3 linked regions of the Saccharomyces cerevisiae S288C genome follow. The gene in region 1 interacts genetically with each later gene. Each region holds a gene or a part of one and is shown on either strand. Other genes may lie near its edges.

Region 1 (8,880 bases):
TTTCGAGGTTGTGCTTCGCCCTATCCCTTGGAAAACATTTCTAATCATCTTAAATTCTGTGATTGAGAACGTTTTAACGTTATCTTAAACGTTTCCATAGAAGAACGAACGTGAAGGTTTGTAGCTCGTTAAAAGGCGATCTTGAATGATGTGAAGAAGTGTAAAAGGCTTAGGAAAGTTGCTTGTTGACCCGGTGTCGTTCAATATACTCCTATTACCCAAATGGCAGTTTCATAGAGTGATATTATTTCGTTGCCTTGTGTAAGTTAGAAGTACTTCTTGTCGATTGTGAATTCGGATAGCCGCTAGAACGCCAATCATTGCGGAGGTTTGCCATCGCATGGATACCATAGCCATCTGCACATTCTAATATAGATTATATTACTTTAGACCATGTCATTTCATAATCGTTGGTTTAAGCGGTGTTGTTTCCACAGTTTGTATGAGAACTTTTGTCCAAAGTAAAGTATCAGTAACGTAATCTGAGCAAACCTACATTAAATCGTAACTCCGCGAGATTCTTTTGTTCAGGTGGATCAGCGGCGTGGTTTACTTCCGATTTGCTCATCGTGCGCATAGCAGCATTTATTCCTCTAATTCGCTCGATAATCAACCTTTCCGCACTACGACGGTGGCAATAGTTGGACCTTAAGATATGCCTATCTGAATACAATTCTTCAACTCACATCAGTGGGACACTAAATAAAGCATATGGTATGAAATACTATGAATTATTGAATTATTGGCAGACACAGCAGCGACAAGTCAGAGTGCTTACAAAAAAAAAAGAGTTGATCCGGCTAAAGAAAGTCTGATTTACGTATTTATCCAGGTTCAAACGGATTGCCAAAAATAGTCGATAACCTCGGAGTAAGCAAAGCAACAATATATTTGTTCTTCGAAAAGGTAAACTTCTTAACTTCTATAGAAGCATTGTACTAGTTCTCTCGAAGAAAAAAACTAAGAAAGCTATAGCTGTATCTTACCAAGCCATGAACTTGAGGAATTGGTAATCCTTATTAGGAAATACGCTAAACTAGGTAATAGCAGATGATTTACTAGCTTACTATCTCACACTAAGTCTGGCAACGCGCTTATTTTTTAATACTTTTATACGAACCAATGAAATTTGATCCTCCCCTTTTTCGTCTAGTTAAATGAAGAGATACAAGTAGGCCTTTCTATTGAGTACTTAGCAAGATATGTATTTCTAAGAAACATCAACAGTTTCAGCCCACAACCGATTCATAAAATGTCTGCCTGGAGGAAAGCTGGTATATCATATGCTGCATATTTGAATGTGGCCGCTCAGGCTATCCGTTCTTCATTGAAAACTGAATTACAAACCGCTAGTGTTCTTAACAGATCGCAAACAGATGCTTTTTATACCCAATATAAAAATGGCACTGCAGCTTCTGAACCCACTCCAATAACAAAATAGTTTAACGCTTCCTGGGAACTGCAGCTCTTTTTTTACTCGCTGATATACATTTTAAATATTCTAGCAACTGTGTATGAAAACTTACGTACTTTTATACGGGAAACTAATAATGACTACAATGATATTGAATACTGGCCGCTTCGAAGAGTGGTATAAAGTTTGTATCATTGCATTAAAAGAAAAAGAAATATATGTCCCATCATCGCCAATCGCAATGTTGAATGGTCGTTTACCACTTTTGCGGCTGGGCATATGCAGAAACATGCTGTCCCGTCCCCGACTGGCTAAACTGCCATCTATAAGGTTTCGGTCTTTGGTCACCCCTTCTTCATCGCAGCTCATTCCTCTCAGTCGGTTGTGTTTAAGGTCACCTGCAGTTGGAAAATCACTAATTTTACAAAGTTTTAGATGTAATTCATCCAAAACAGTTCCAGAAACTTCTCTGCCTTCAGCCTCTCCCATATCTAAAGGATCAGCAAGGTCGGCACATGCAAAGGAGCAATCTAAAACTGATGACTATAAAGATATAATAAGGTTATTTATGTTGGCGAAACGGGATTGGAAACTGCTTCTTACAGCCATACTTCTTTTAACCATATCATGTTCCATAGGCATGTCTATTCCTAAAGTCATAGGTATTGTCCTTGACACACTTAAGACGTCATCTGGATCAGATTTTTTTGATTTGAAGATACCGATTTTTTCTTTGCCTTTATATGAGTTTCTTTCCTTTTTTACTGTTGCTTTACTGATTGGTTGTGCTGCTAATTTTGGTAGATTTATATTATTGAGGATACTAAGTGAGCGTGTTGTTGCACGCCTAAGGGCAAATGTCATTAAAAAAACGCTTCATCAAGACGCAGAATTCTTCGACAACCATAAAGTTGGGGATTTAATTTCTCGTTTAGGATCTGATGCTTATGTTGTTTCAAGATCAATGACCCAGAAGGTCTCGGATGGGGTCAAAGCCCTAATTTGTGGGGTTGTTGGCGTGGGGATGATGTGTTCTTTGTCACCTCAACTATCAATATTGTTACTATTCTTCACTCCACCTGTTCTTTTTAGTGCCTCAGTGTTCGGGAAGCAAATTAGAAACACCTCTAAAGACCTTCAAGAAGCTACTGGTCAATTGACTAGAGTCGCTGAAGAACAACTCTCTGGTATCAAGACGGTTCAGTCGTTTGTTGCTGAAGGTAATGAATTGTCTAGGTATAACGTTGCAATTAGAGATATTTTTCAGGTGGGAAAAACTGCGGCATTTACAAACGCAAAGTTTTTTACTACAACTAGTCTCTTAGGTGACCTAAGTTTTTTAACCGTCCTTGCGTATGGCTCCTATCTTGTTTTACAATCACAGCTCTCCATTGGTGATCTGACTGCATTTATGCTGTACACAGAATATACGGGGAATGCGGTATTCGGCCTTTCTACCTTCTATTCGGAAATTATGCAGGGTGCTGGGGCCGCTTCCAGGTTGTTTGAATTAACAGATAGGAAACCTTCCATTTCACCGACTGTGGGACACAAGTATAAACCAGATCGTGGTGTTATCGAATTTAAAGATGTTTCATTTAGCTACCCTACAAGGCCTTCTGTTCAAATATTCAAGAATTTAAATTTTAAAATTGCGCCAGGATCGAGTGTTTGTATTGTGGGCCCTTCAGGTCGTGGTAAATCTACAATTGCACTCTTACTGCTAAGATATTATAATCCCACTACTGGGACTATTACGATAGATAACCAAGATATCTCTAAATTGAATTGTAAATCCCTAAGAAGGCATATTGGTATCGTTCAGCAAGAGCCGGTACTGATGTCAGGTACTATTAGGGATAATATCACTTATGGGTTGACATATACCCCAACAAAGGAAGAAATCAGGTCAGTAGCAAAGCAGTGCTTTTGCCATAACTTTATCACAAAATTTCCGAACACATACGATACGGTAATTGGTCCTCACGGCACCTTACTAAGTGGAGGACAAAAGCAGCGTATTGCGATTGCAAGGGCTCTAATCAAAAAGCCAACTATTTTGATTCTTGATGAAGCTACATCAGCTTTAGATGTTGAAAGTGAAGGAGCCATTAACTATACGTTTGGTCAACTAATGAAATCAAAATCGATGACTATTGTTAGCATCGCGCACAGGCTAAGTACGATCAGAAGATCAGAGAATGTTATTGTCCTTGGCCATGATGGATCAGTGGTAGAAATGGGCAAATTCAAAGAATTGTATGCGAATCCAACAAGTGCTTTATCGCAATTACTTAATGAGAAAGCGGCTCCTGGGCCATCTGACCAACAACTGCAAATAGAGAAGGTCATCGAAAAGGAAGATTTGAATGAGAGTAAGGAGCATGATGACCAGAAAAAGGACGATAATGACGATAATGATAATAATCATGATAACGACAGCAATAACCAGTCTCCAGAGACGAAAGACAATAATTCAGATGATATTGAAAAATCTGTCGAACATCTCCTGAAAGACGCGGCAAAGGAGGCTAATCCAATTAAGATCACACCACAACCGTGAGTCATCCGCATCGCATATACCCATTCTTATCTCGCACATTTAAATATATACTATATATAATACTGTTAAATGCCAAATAAAAAGGATTTTCATTACCCGAATCGATACTTTTGGTAGCATAAACAAATAACATTGAAACAATAACAAAGTGTAATGTGGCCGCACGAATCTTTGTCTGTAACAGCCTTAAAGATTTCAGTAGCACTGCCATGGATAATGATGGACCCAGATCTATGACCATTGGGGATGACTTCCAAGAGAACTTTTGTGAACGTTTAGAAAGAATTCACAATACATTACATTCAATAAACGATTGCAACTCATTGAATGAGAGTACCACAAGTATATCAGAGACATTGTTAGTTCAATTTTATGATGATTTGGAGAACGTTGCCTCGGTAATTCCCGACTTAGTCAACAAGAAAAGACTGGGAAAAGACGATATTTTGTTGTTTATGGACTGGTTATTATTGAAAAAATATATGCTATATCAATTTATTAGTGACGTTCATAATATTGAGGAAGGTTTTGCTCATTTGTTGGATTTACTAGAGGATGAATTCTCGAAGGACGATCAGGATAGCGACAAATACAATCGATTTAGCCCGATGTTTGACGTCATAGAAGAATCTACACAAATTAAGACTCAGTTGGAGCCATGGCTTACTAACTTGAAGGAATTATTGGATACGTCATTGGAATTTAACGAAATTTCAAAGGATCATATGGATACATTACATAAAATCATTAATAGCAATATATCGTATTGTCTGGAAATTCAGGAAGAAAGGTTCGCGTCCCCGATACGGCATACTCCATCATTTACCCTAGAACAACTAGTCAAGTTATTAGGAACGCATACGGAGACAACTGAGCCAAAGGTACCAAAATTTTCTCCGGCAGAAGATATTTTATCAAGAAAGTTCTTGAACCTAAAAAAAAATATCCCTCCAATTGAAAAAAGTTTGACTGATATCCTACCTCAAAGAATTGTGCAATTTGGGCACCGGAATATAACAAACATAACTACTTTGCAAACAATCTTGCAAAAAAAATACGAGCTGATAATGAAAGATTATAGATTTATGAATTCAGAGTTTAGGGAATTGAAAGTCGAACTAATCGACAAACGTTGGAATATACTCTTTATTAATTTAAATCATGAACTATTATACATTCTTGATGAGATAGAAAGGTTGCAGTCGAAATTACTGACAACAAAGTATACCAAAGATATCACTATAAGGCTCGAGAGGCAATTGGAGAGAAAATCAAAAACTGTTTCTAAGACATTCAATATTATTTACAGAGCATTGGAATTCTCACTTTTGGACGCTGGCGTCGCATCGAAGACAAATGAATTAGCTCAAAGATGGCTGAATATCAAGCCTACAGCGGATAAAATTCTAATCAAATCCTCCGCTTCAAACAAAATAGCTACTAGCAAGAAGAAGATTCCAAAACCGAAATCATTAGGCTTTGGGCGACCGAATAGTGTTATTGGAACTATAACCCAGGATTTCCAGGAGAGAGTCGCCATTAATGAAGGTGACAGTAATAAAACACCGGAAAATTCAACTACAGTGGCTTTGAAAGGTAAAAAGCTTGGTAAAGCGTTACTGCAGAAGATGAATATTAAACCTGCAACAAGCCCAAATTCATCAAATGCGATTAATCCATTTTTTGATCCGGAGTCGCCAAACAAAGGAAAACTGATACTAAGTAGTGTTCCTCCCTTACCTTATGACGAAACCGATGAAACCACCCTCCGTGTTTCTCGTGGGGAAAATGAAAAGTCACCAGACTCCTTCATTACATCTCGGCATGAAAATAAAGTACAGATTACAGAAACTCCTTTGATGGCAAAGAATAAGTCTGTGCTTGACATCGAAAAAGATAAATGGAATCATTACCGGTCCTTGCCCTCTAGGATCCCTATATACAAGGATAAAGTGGTGAAAGTCACCGTAGAAAACACACCGATAGCAAAGGTTTTCCAGACTCCGCCAACAAAAATCACGACACCTAATAGTCAAGTTTGGGTCCCTTCGACAAGAAGAAGAACCCGATTGAGGCCTCCCACCCCCTTATCACAGTTACTTTCACCAAGAGAAGGGCGTTTAGATAAAACCCCAACTTATTGATACTAACCTAAAACTGTATACTTATACATTTTTATATATCCTCCCTCTCACCCTCTCCATTCATAGAATTTGTAATACTAGTTTAAATAATGTAATATTATGTGTAATTTTAAATAGTCCATGAAGATTCCGCACGTTTTCATTTTACAGTTTTTGACACCTTTACCCGACGCTTTATAAAAAAAATAGTATAAGCATCACGACATAAGCAGCCTCAGGTCATTAAAACAATAAAAGACTGGGAATTATAAACGTACAACGGTAAGGTCATTCACGCAGTGTATATGAATGACTGAAAGTGCTATAGATGACCAAAGGTTTAATCTTACAAAGGAGTTACAACGACACTCATGCAGAGATCAAGGGAAAATAACACAAAAGGATGATGCTTTAGATTTTATAAGTTACAGTTCTTTTCAATCCTCTTTTAATACTGACCAAAAAAGCGCGAACAATGGAAGTACTGTGAGAAGAAGCATAAGGTCGATTTTTAGAAGAGCAGCCGAATTGCCTAGAGTCCATATGGGGCCTCTTACTTATTCACATGGGATAAATGAGCTTGTTAACAAGAAATTAAGAAAAGACTGTGATCTCAGCACGCTATGTCGCGTATTGCAAAGAGGAATCAGGATGATTAGGATGACAAGAAGAAGAAGGAAGTTCTATGAATTTAAATTAATCAATAACAACGGGCAAATAATATGGAAAGATGGTTCGAAGTATCTGGAATTAGACTCCGTTAAAGACATCAGAATCGGTGATACGGCGAGTACTTATCAAGAGGAAGTAGATCCGAAAAGATTGAGATCGGACAGTAAACTTTGGATTGCTATTATTTATAAGGTTTCCAACAAATTGAAAGCGTTACACGTAGTTGCTTTGAATGAATTGGACTTTAACACATTCTTAAGCTGCATTTGCGGTTTAGTGAAGTTAAGGAGGGAATTAATGGAAAGCATACTTTTGCCTGATAATTCGCAATTCGCTAGGATACATTGGCAAATTACTGTTTCTGAAAAAGAGGAAGATGAGAAAAAGGACACATTGAGCTTTGCAGATGTGAAGAAACTATGTGATAAATTTCATATTTATGTGTCAACTGGTCAATTGTTAGAGTTTTTCCAATTAGCAGACATCAATCATAACGGACTATTAAATTATTTTGAATTTGAAAAGTTCATTAAAATCTTAAAGAATAGGAAAGAGGTAAATATGATTTGGTCTAAATTTACAAAACCTCCACACTCCCACTTATCATTTGAAAATTTTTTTCAATTTTTAATTACAGAGCAGCATGAGCAAGTGGATCGTCAAACTGCATGGTCATATTTTATTAAGTACAGAGAACCGACTCAGCTGACGATGGGGCAAGATGGTTTTACCAAGTTCTTGAAGGAGCAACCATATTTGGTGGAGGTTAAAGAGGAGTTATATTCAAAGCCATTAAACCATTATTTTATTGCATCTTCACATAATACTTATTTATTGGGGAAACAAATTGCAGAAACTCCATCTGTGGAGGGATATATTCAAGTCCTACAACAAGGTTGTAGGTGCGTAGAAATTGATATATGGGATGGTGAAAATGGGCCAGTGGTATGCCATGGATTTTTAACGTCAGCTATTCCCTTAAAAACAGTTATACGCGTGATAAAGAAGTACGCTTTTATAACGTCTCCGTATCCTTTGATTATTTCACTGGAAATAAACTGTAACAAGGATAATCAAAAATTGGCAAGCCTGATAATGAGAGAGGTTTTAGCAGAACAGCTGTACTTTGTTGGCACAAGAACTGATAAACTGCCATCACCAAGGGAATTAAAACATAAAATACTGTTGAAATCCAAGAAGACGAGTGAAGCAACTAGAGGTCTTAGCGTTAATGAGCCATTTCCATCTTCTTTTAGTTCTTCTTACGAATCAGCTAATGAACAGGAATTAAGAATGAAAGATGACTCCACGAACAGTAGTAGCGCAACAAATTCTTCTAGTATGCAACGCATCAAAAGAATTGGATTAAAAAAGCACGCTGATATAATTAATGATGTTTCTAACATTTCTGGAATACATGGCATCAAGTTCAGGAATTTCTCTTTACCAGAGTCCAAAACGATAGCGCATTGTTTTTCACTGAATGAGCGCAAAGTAGAATACATGATAAAAGACAAACACTTAAAATTATCGTTGGATAAACATAATAGAAGATATTTGATGAGAGTCTATCCTCACGTTTTACGATACAAATCATCAAATTTTAACCCAATACCTTTTTGGAAGGCCGGTGTACAAATGGTGGCTACGAATTGGCAAACTAATGATATTGGACAGCAACTTAATCTGGCAATGTTTCAAATATTAGATCACCAACCTGATGGAAGTTTTAAATCAGGATACGTGCTAAAACCAAAAAAGTTGCTACCTGTAGTAACAAAGGCGAAAATGATTCCATTAATTTACGAACATTTTGAAAATGGTAGTGATCCTGTTACTGTTAAAATTCGAATTTTATCTACACAGTTATTGCCCAGATTGAATGATACATCGCCAAGCAGAAATAACACCAATTCCTTTGTTAAAGTGGAGTTTCATACCGATGACGAGCCGACAATGCCCATCTCAATCGATAAGGGTACAAGGATTTCTGCCACTGAAGCATCCACTAAGAGTTCTCAAGGGAATGGATTCAACCCAATATGGGATGCTGAAGTTTCTATCACATTGAAAGATACAGACCTCACATTTATAAAATTCATGGTTAT
Region 2 (5,421 bases), on another chromosome or scaffold:
TCTGAAAGGTATGTCTTCCTATTAGACCCAATGCTGGCCACCGGTGGTAGTGCTATCATGGCTACAGAAGTCTTGATTAAGAGAGGTGTTAAGCCAGAGAGAATTTACTTCTTAAACCTAATCTGTAGTAAGGAAGGGATTGAAAAATACCATGCCGCCTTCCCAGAGGTCAGAATTGTTACTGGTGCCCTCGACAGAGGTCTAGATGAAAACAAGTATCTAGTTCCAGGGTTGGGTGACTTTGGTGACAGATACTACTGTGTTTAAATAAATCACACCCGAACACCATCTTGAAGGTTCAGAACGGCTGAAGCCGCATATCAACTTTTGGTTTCTACTGTTTTAAATTTCCTTTCTCGTTTTAAACCTTTGTTGCCGTCTCTTCTACTATCAATTTTGTTGTTCATGCATGTTTAATTACCTTTTTTTGTAAAAATAATATAAACGTATCAATGGCTATTTATAACAAATATGCTTGAAAAATCTAACGACTCTGTTTCTTACATTAGGTTCGAATAAACACGGGTACTGTCCTCTAGCCAATCTGACTTTTTGGTCCAAAGTCTTTGAAAGGTAGATAACCCCGTTAAAATAGAACCACCAATCCATGTAGTATATTTTCTTTCTGAAGGGGCTATAATCTTTATCTTGGATGTTCCTTTGGTTAATGCCTCCAAATCCCATAGCATTCGGTCTCCAAAGCCTTTAAGCGTTGTAGTTCCGCCACTTAGGATTATCGATGACAGTAAAGGTTTCCTTAAATCCAGATCGACTTTCCAAATAGATTGCATGCACATATCAGATAATCCATCGTACCCTAAGCCGATGATTTGAGGTGAAAATAATATTTCTGGAGCACGATATCGATCATTCCCCACCTCTATACACCTCCCGTCGGGCAATTTGAATGTCGAGATTAAATCTTGAGTACCTTGTAAGTATTTCTCCTCTTCCTTTTTAATATTCTTGGCCAAATAACAAACTTTCTCTTTCATCGTGCGAACAATCTCTCGTTCACTGCTGGAAAACAACGAAACACCAGCTGATTTCCGTAGTTGAAATTGTAACTGCTCTGTGATATCTGCTCCTCCAATATCCATCCTCATCATAGACGCAGGTAATGCAAAGCCGTCATATATGGGAACAGTGCTACAGTATCCTTCACCACAGTCAACTACACAACCTGTAGTTCTCCCACTAGCATATAATGACAGAACAGCAGGGTTTGAAACGTACAAAGCCGATACGTCAAAGGTCTCGAACAATACTTGAGCCATCTGCTCTCTATTCTTCAAAGGATTCATCGGGGCTTCCGTAATTAATAAAGGATGCTCACCTATATTTTGCAACTGTAGGACTTCATTTAACACATATGACCATATTAGTTCCATAGAATCCCAATCTTCCACCACGCCGTGCTTTATGGGGTATCGTAATTTTAATAATCCACGCAGTTTTTGGGCATTGTTTCCAATAAATGTATCTCCTTGCAGACCTTCGAGCATAACTTTATCATATTTGGTATTTCCTACGAGACAATATTCCAGTGCTTTAGGCCTTTCCTCACCACTAAATCCTGCTTTTATGATCCCAGAACCATTGTCGATCACTACCGGTTGATTGTACAAAGCATAGCTGTCACTTAGCTGGTCCATTGGCTAACTTTCTTTCTAATTCCTCAATTCGTGGTATAGCATTAGCATGTACTCCTTGGTCTATGCCCTTTTATTAATTTGCTGTTTTATTGGGAATATCTGCTATTTGCTTCGCTATTATTCAATAAAGGTGTTTATCATTATTGATGTGCATCGCGAAAATGGCCACTTTGGAAATGAACTTTTTCTTGAAAAGATTAATACAAACGGAAAAAGAGAAGGCAATAGGAAACTCACCGTCACACAGGTGTACTGTGTCCTTTGCTTTGAGCTCTTGTTCAGAACATTATGCTACTTAGCATTCTTTTATGAGCTTTTTTCTGTAGTCTTATTATAGGTTGATGAAAGCGTTACCTTCAAGAAATGATTTTTAACGTGGTATAATAAACACTGTTTATCATGGTAAAACAGGTATTTCTTTTATTCTTTGGAATTACCAGACGATACCCATTCAAAATTCAACTTCTAATCAAACGTTGATCAATAAATACTGTATTATGTTGCTTGTTTGAAATTAGAGGCATTGCCTTTGTTAAATTGAAATATAAACTGGAAAAATGAAGCGAAAATAAAGTACTGTCTATAAACAAAAACCTTAAAATGATTAATGTTAACCTTTCTGAGCAACGAAGCAATCCATACGTATTGAAAGCTTTAGCTCTTGGAGTACGGTGTCGAGAAATCGAAGTAAGACCTAGTAGAAAATCATTAGTTTGTATAGACTAGTCAATGACAAAGTAATAGTTGAAAACAATACTGTCTTAGTTCGCAACCATTTATATATATTTAAACTTATTTTTTACAGCCCTTGCTAATTCCTGATGCCAAGTAACGAGGGGCAAATCATCTGAGTATATACGTACATATACATCAATGATGCCAATCGGAAATGCTTTAACATTTCTGAAGAATTCTTTAAAAGGTTACTATTTTTACTCAATTCGAGAAAATGCAAAATATAATTACCCACTTTTATGTAAACATCGGTGTCAAAATCGTGAAATATACCGAATGATAATGTTGAAAAGAAACTCAAGTGCAAAAGAAAAAACACGATCCAAAGTGTATAGAATGAAATAAAAAAGAAATAGAAAAACTCCTCATCATGTAGCATATATCCGATGATAATATATATACTTTTAGTCATGATATTAATTCTGCAAAAACAAGATTACTGCATCACAGCTTATGCAGTAATCTGTCCATCATCATCGTCATCGTCGTCGTCATCATCATCATCATCATCATCGTCGTCGTCTTCGTCGTCGTCATCATCATCATCATCGTCGTCGTCGTCATCATCATCCTCACCATCATCACCGTCACCGTCGTCCTCCCCATGATCTTCAGCGTCCTTTGTTGTTCCAACAATTGCATTCTTATTTTTACAATTAAGTTCTATCAACGCCGTAGGTCCCACGATGAAGCCTTTTAAAAAATGATTCTTCTGCTTCTGTAAGCTCTGGCGGTTGCTAAAGTGAATTTTATTACTTGTTTCAAAGGTTGGTCCCGAAACTGGAATATAGATAACCTTACCCAAACAGTCGTTACTATCTAGAAATGGTTTGATGCACTTCAGAGAATCCCTCAAATAACGCCTTCTTGAAATTTCCTTAATAGCTGGTTTCCATTTAATATCATCCGTTCCGTAAGGTATATTGGAGAAGCAACTTAGAGTAGAAGATGCTCGCCTTCGATTTCTTATTCGTTCTTCAATTAAACATGAATAATCACTTTCACTGCCATAAGCATAACCAATATTACTGTCATCAGTATCATCATTAGTATCATCGCCAGCATATTCATCGGTTTCACCGTCATTTTCGTCCTCATCGGTCTCAGTAGCGCTTTCATCGTCATTGATTTCAGCGTCACGGTTTGTGAGACATAACGACCTACTGCTTTGGGATAAATCTGTGGCGGATTCCCCATTAGGAGCTAATCCTGATAGGTATATCGAAGAGCTTTGAGGTTTAGGTCTAATAGATGCCTCATCCCTTTCATTGGCTACCAAATTCGACGCAACACTCCGTAATTCCTCTTTCATAACCGCATTTTGTGATTGCAGCATAATCTCGCAGCCATCAACGGAAAGATGCTCAATAGGAGAGGGTGAATGAACTGATTCACCCACTGTGCTATTTGGAAATTTGATGGGGACAACCTCCTCGCTAATTGCACGCCTCAATGACTGTCTTTGGGGCATGGAAATAGCTCTATTTCTGTGCATTGGACGCTCTACTTTAATGGTGGTATTTACTGGAACACCAGGCTCTGGATGATCTCCCCCGCTTGATTCATGGTGTTCATCATCTTCTTCCGTTTCAATAACACTATTTAAGTTACTTGAGTTGGACCTGAGTCTGTGAAGCTTTTCTGTGCGTGAAGAATTTTTAGGCCTGAAAAAGTTCTTAATTTTAAATTTTAAACTTCTAGATGCAATCGAACGGGAAGCTGAGCAACCAGATAATGACCTTGTTGATCCCAGGGTACTGTTATCACTGGATTCTCCTGATGCAGCCGAAGATATCAATGCCTCTGTAGGCGTCTTTGAGAGGCCAGTGCAGTAATGATCTAGTAGACCAGCTGTGAAAGTATTCGAGCGTTCCCTGATAGTTGTATTGTTATTAGTGCTAGACCCGGTACTATATCTTTGGATTAAGTCCGGTCTGGAATTCGAACGAATGAATCTCTGCGAAAAAGACCCCATCGAACTCTCACTTCTATGAGTGTGTCTTCTTCTCCTCCTTCTCCTCCTTCTCCTTCTCCTTCTTCTGGGAACAATTCGATAATCTGGATACTCCCTGACTTCCAAGTCCAAAGACACAGATATCCCGATTGATAGGTACATAGACCAGTCAATCATATCATCTATATGAGAGAACCGTAATAAAAACTGTTCGCTTTCACAAGACATTCTTAACACAAAACTCTTCTTGGTATAATCCGTTGGTATCCCAAATCTTGCATTTTGTAAAGTGAAAGACTTGTAAAGAGCTTCATCGGTTAAATACCGCGATCGATCACGTTTCACTCTATAAGAGATCCGTTCTTGATCTGCTTTTTTAAACTCCGAAGCTGATCTCGTCGGTAGAGTGAAGAGACGGTGATGCAGATGTTGTGATTGATCACTGCGATGGACCAAGTCACTATGAATTCTATCCTCTTTTTCAGATTTTGTTTCCCCGCTTGAATAATTCCTAATGTGTTTCGTCAAAGATTCGTCAATATGGTAAAAATTTAGTTGAGTCGAATTAATTTCAATGATGAAATTCCTCCAGCTCCTGTTACTAGAAATTTCATAAGGTGAAAGCCTTTCCAATTTTAAGGATATCAACGTCAATTCATATACTGCAGGTGCATACAAAGGAGGGAGAGAAGACTTTGGGCATGGTGCCGTGTCACCAAATATAGGAAAGCGGACCTCTTTATTGGGATTTACTAGATCATAGCTCGGTGGATAAGCAGGGAGGGGATCTATATGCTCGTAAAGATCTTGCTTGATGAAGAGAGCAGCGTGAGAAGAGGACGAAGCTGCAGTTTCCTTGATAATATTTATCTGACCAGAAACACCTTCCCGAGGAAGTTGACGCATGGTCTCTAAACATATAGAGCTGCTGTTATTGCTTGAAGTAATGAGAACCTCGTCCATTGAGCATGTTGATGAAGACGAGGGTGATTTTAACCTTTCGATCCTATTATTTGCCATGGATAATTTGCCCTCTATTGGCAGAGCCATCCTTAACAAACGAACAACTTGTATGCA
Region 3 (5,056 bases), on another chromosome or scaffold:
AATGTTAATAAATTCTTGGATTTAAGTAGTGAAATTAGCGAAGGTGGATCCAATTTGTCTCAAGGACAGCGCCAATTGATGTGCCTTGCTAGATCTTTACTGAGGAGTCCAAAGATCATATTGCTGGACGAAGCTACAGCGTCCATCGACTACAGTTCCGATGCGAAGATCCAAGAAACCATAAGAAAAGAGTTCCAAGGTAGTACAATTTTGACAATTGCACATAGGTTGAGATCTGTTATCGATTATGATAAAATTTTGGTGATGGATGCAGGTGAGGTAAAAGAGTATGATCACCCATATTCTTTGTTACTTAACAAACAAAGTGCCTTTTATAGCATGTGTGAGCATAGTGGAGAATTGGATATCCTAATTGAATTGGCTAAAAAAGCCTTTGTGGAAAAATTGAACTCTAAAAAGGACTAGCTGTTTCGATGCTAAAGTATATATATATATATATATATATATATATATATATATATGTATATACGCACACATGTTCACGTACTATAAATTACCTTTTGTAAATTCAACAGCCTCTTTTTCTGGAACTGGAAGAATCCGTTAACTTCAATATTCCAGTCGATGAAACGGTTTAGAATTGCAATTGACCTCAAAATCATTATGTTGCAGTTATCCACCAACTCGGGTAACTTCTTCAACTGTTTCGTTTCAATATTTGCGTCTTTGAAGGAAATCTGATCCAATGAACTTTTACTGATTTGGCAAAACTCCATATATTGGCTGTTTAGTTCGTCAAATGCACTATATAATGTATAAATATCGTCAAAGCAACTAGCAAAAATACAAATATCATCAGGAGCTCCCACGTTCTCGATGTCTTCAGCCATGAAAGTATTAAAGAGTTGCAGGAGATCTTGAGAATACTTTAGACCCTGGAAATATAGACGATGTAACTGATTGTATAGTTCATCTAATTGCACTGAAACATCGGAATTCGCGCTGTATCCGGCGCCTATAAGCCGCTCCAATCGGTCACACCTGTATTCTAAAGCTTCAACAAGCTTAAGACCAGGCATCAAACTTCCTTTGGTAGAGGCTAATGGCCTTGGAAGCTCGAGAGAACATTCTATAAGTTCATCAATCACTTATACTATATGCAGTACCTCTAAATTACCTAATATCCGGGTAATAAGAACAATATTCGGGTGACGCCGCCCCTGTTTGATGACAAAATTGGAAGAAAAAGAGGAAACAAGAAAAGACTGGTTAGCAACTACGTAAACTTCAGATTTCAAAACATACATAAACAAAAAACTAACAAAAGAAGATGTCTAGATCTGGGTATGCTAAATTTCATTTGTACTCCTGTGTAAACTATCAATTACTAACTAATTGACATGATGCTGTTTTATCTCGCTCTCTTATGTCCTTTCTTTCCTCCCTTTTTAACATGGAACTTTAAAAGGAATGTGGGGGAAAAAATTCATAAGAAGCCAGGAAAATGTGAAGTTTCTGTGTAGTGTTGCTGTTGCTGATGAATCCCTTACCGCTTTCAATGACTTGAAATTGGGTAAAAAATACAAATTTATTTTATTCGGATTGAACGATGCTAAAACCGAAATCGTTGTCAAGGAAACCTCTACTGACCCATCTTACGATGCCTTCTTAGAGAAATTGCCAGAAAACGACTGTCTTTACGCCATTTACGATTTTGAATACGAAATTAATGGTAATGAAGGTAAGAGATCCAAGATTGTTTTCTTCACTTGGTCTCCAGACACTGCTCCAGTCAGATCTAAGATGGTCTATGCATCCTCCAAGGATGCCTTAAGAAGAGCCTTAAACGGTGTCTCTACCGATGTTCAAGGTACTGATTTTTCCGAAGTTTCTTACGATTCTGTTTTGGAAAGAGTCAGCAGAGGCGCTGGTTCTCATTAAGGTAAATGATTTCACAAATGACAACAATCTTCAAGAAAAATGAAAATGTATATCTATATATAAAATCGTCATATATATACAGAATACATGTATAGAATTATTATAATTATAATTTTCTCTTCGCAACTCTATCTAAAACACAATACTTAGATTTAAGGTCCCGTACACCCCGGCTAGTGGGCATTGTTTTTGCACCCATATTTGTAATTCTAAATTCAGAACGGAAATACTGGCCATGTAGATCAAGAAAAGATACAAGGTCATCGAACCAGGCAGCAATGATTTTTCTATAATCTTCTAAAGTGAAGCATGACGACCATAGCTCGTTGAATATGCATAGAACGCTTCTGTTTTTAACGTGGCTGATATCTTTAACAAAGGCTTTTAATATAAAATTACCACACACTGAAAAAAAAGACCATTTGGAATCCAACGCTGTGCTGGCATGCGCATCCTATATAAATACTCTGAAGTGGTCATTTGATAGCTCCGTCGTACCGGGTTTCTATTCTACCATATGCTCTTATTCACCAGCGTTTGATACTTGGTCACTTTGTATCTTCAATTCGCTTACAGACCAGATTATTCCCATGGACAACACAAGTTTCGAAGAAAGCTTGGGTAACGTACGAAAAACGTGCTCGTTTGTCGATAAAAAGTTTAGCAATATTTCACTGGAGCAATACTACTCATCTTTAAATAATGCTTCTTCTCACGCTTTGGAAGACTATGGTTCTATTGAAAGTTTATCGACATCCATTCGAGTCGATCGTGAGACAAGATCTAGATGGATACGAGCTTTTCATGCGCATGCCTATAATTTAGATATCAGCAGTGTTTATGGTGCATATTTAACTTACTACTTCGTCATAGTGGGTATTATCGCCGTCTTCTTCCATATGAGTCACTATAACGGCCTGAATCGAGCGCTATTTGCAAGCCGGTTCGTCAATTATATTCGGGGCCATTTTGTGTTGCCTACGTTTTTAGTAGATAAGCACGCTAATCACTTCAAGTTTCTAAACGTGGAAGTCTTTACGGGACTGATGCCGAATTCCTTGGAGGCATGGATCATTTTTGGATACACATTGGCGAACATCATATTTTTGTCCATAAGTTACATCATAGACCCATATAACCTCATTTTCAACAGTCACCTGTCGCAGTTTACAAGACTGTTGGCTGATAGATCTGGGATACTGGCGTTTACTCAGTTCCCTCTCATTATCATTTTTACGGCAAGGAATAGTTTTCTCGAATTTTTAACAGGAGTCAAGTTCAATTCCTTTATTAGTTTCCATAAATGGATCGGTAGAATCATGGTCTTAAACGCAACGATACATTCGCTTTCTTATTCATTATTCGCAATTATCAACCATGCCTTCAAAATAAGCAACAAACAGCTCTATTGGAAGTTTGGTATTGCATCCATAACAGTGCTTTGCGTTCTACTAGTTCTATCGCTCGGAATAGTAAGGAAAAGACATTACGAATTTTTCCTGTACACCCACATCATACTAGCCCTTTTGTTCTTTTACTGTTGTTGGCAACACGTCAAAATTTTCAACGGTTGGAAAGAATGGATAGTGGTATCCTTGCTCATTTGGGGGCTGGAAAAGCTTTTCAGAATATGGAACATTTTGCAGTTTAGATTTCCGAAAGCAACACTAATCAATTTGAACACCAGCAACAACCCGCACGATGAAATGTTTAAAGTAATCATACCCAAATATAACCGGAGATGGCATTCGAAACCGGGTCAATATTGTTTCATTTATTTTTTACATCCATTGGTATTTTGGCAATGCCATCCATTTACCATTATCGACGAAGGTGAGAAGTGTGTTTTAGTGATCAAACCTAAAAGTGGTCTCACTAGATTCATTTATAACCATATTTTGCAATCTTTAAATGGTAAATTACAACTCCGAGTGGCCATTGAGGGACCTTATGGGCCCAGTAATCTTCACCTCGATAAATTCGACCATTTGCTGTTACTAAGTGGAGGAACAGGCTTGCCTGGTCCATTAGATCATGCCATTAAGCTGTCACGAAACCCTGATAAACCCAAGAGTATAGATTTGATCATGGCGATCAAAAATCCTTCTTTTCTTAACGGCTATAAATCCGAGATACTAGAGCTAAAAAATAGCCGATCCCACGTCAACGTGCAGGTTTACCTTACACAGAAAACAGCTGTTACAAAGGCAGCAAACGCACGAGACCAATTAATACATTTTGATGATATAATGACCGAACTGACAAGCTTCGCCCACATCGGCAATGCAAGACCTAATTTTAGCAATGTAATTGAAAACGCAATAAAAAGTACGCCGCCTGGAGATTCATTAGCGGTCGTGTGCTGCGGCCCTCCTGTTCTGGTGGACGATGTTAGAAACACCGTTTCTCAAAAACTCCTCGGTTACCCAGAGAGAATTATAGAGTATTTCGAGGAATATCAGTGTTGGTAAATCTTCTCTCCGGCTCCTTCTGATCCTACGCCCACCTATATCTACATATATCTACGGCACTAAAAACTTTTATGTACCGCATAAAAGGTGCTCTTTAGCAACTATTTTTAGTTAATTATTTGCGTTTTAGCTTTCAGGAATTTGCTTGCTAAGACGATGTCTAATAAATCCGGTACTTCTTTACTTGCAATTAATTACTAAGCGGCGCCTGAATTTTTCCGGCTTGATGCCGAGCAAAAATTAACTCTAAATCCCTTTCTGGGAACGAGTCTTTGAAGTTCTACGGTCTTTTGTCTCAGGAAAATATGTCCCGAGAAAGATGGAATAAGTATGGATTTTGTCCTTAACCAGTGGAGGTGGCGCTGCAGTCCTTCTTTTCAGACCCAAGCAAACAGACCAAAGGACATTTTTTTGGAAAATGTTAAGAATCAACCCTCCGAAATCTTTTCACGGCTCAAATTACTGCGGCCTTTTTCTGCTTCTTAAAAATGGGAGCATGATTATTTAATTAGCATTGCATCTGCGTGCACCGTAACTACTACAGTACTTTTACTGCCGCTGAGACGACAGCACGATCTGTTTTAACGTCGTAGGTGTATTTTTTTTTTTCCCGCTAAAAGAGCACCGCCATAATAATGACTTACCTCCTCCAATCCTTCTAGATGTTTTTCTTTAAACTCCTA

The links. A genetic interaction does not mean that the proteins touch.
Region 2: mutations in KAR9 (region 1) and ARP1 are lethal when combined (synthetic lethality), as found in Saccharomyces cerevisiae (7 studies listed by BioGRID, with this or other methods).
Region 3: mutations in KAR9 (region 1) and LDB18 together harm fitness more than expected from each alone (negative genetic interaction), as found in Saccharomyces cerevisiae (6 studies listed by BioGRID, with this or other methods).

What each region holds. Positions count from the first base shown.
Region 1 is NC_001148.4:28,827-37,706, forward strand, and holds KAR9 (Kar9p), read left to right. Parts: upstream 1-4,186; coding exon 4,187-6,121; downstream 6,122-8,880. Other genes in the region: ATP15 (F1F0 ATP synthase subunit epsilon), read left to right, coding at 1,253-1,441; ATP-binding cassette permease MDL2, read left to right, coding at 1,656-3,977; PLC1 (phosphatidylinositol phospholipase C), read left to right, coding at 6,410-8,880. UniProt on the Saccharomyces cerevisiae protein: Involved in karyogamy. Component of a cortical adaptor complex that orients cytoplasmic microtubules. It may be involved in anchoring cytoplasmic microtubules to the cell cortex.
Region 2 is NC_001140.6:362,499-367,919, forward strand, and holds ARP1 (actin-related protein 1), read right to left. Parts: upstream 1,656-5,421; coding exon 501-1,655; downstream 1-500. Other genes in the region: FUR1 (uracil phosphoribosyltransferase), read left to right, coding at 1-267; YHR130C (uncharacterized protein), read right to left, coding at 2,467-2,802; YHR131C (uncharacterized protein), read right to left, coding at 2,842-5,394. UniProt on the Saccharomyces cerevisiae protein: Core component of the dynactin complex which assists cytoplasmic dynein by increasing its processivity and by regulation of its cargo binding.
Region 3 is NC_001144.5:36,650-41,705, reverse strand, and holds LDB18 (Ldb18p), read right to left. Parts: upstream 1,041-5,056; coding exon 501-1,040; downstream 1-500. Other genes in the region: bile acid-transporting ATPase YBT1, read left to right, coding at 1-426; COF1 (cofilin), read left to right, coding at 1,292-1,305, 1,485-1,902; FRE6 (putative ferric-chelate reductase), read left to right, coding at 2,235-4,373. UniProt on the Saccharomyces cerevisiae protein: May be involved in protein-linked oligosaccharide phosphorylation since the deletion reduces the negative charge of the cell surface.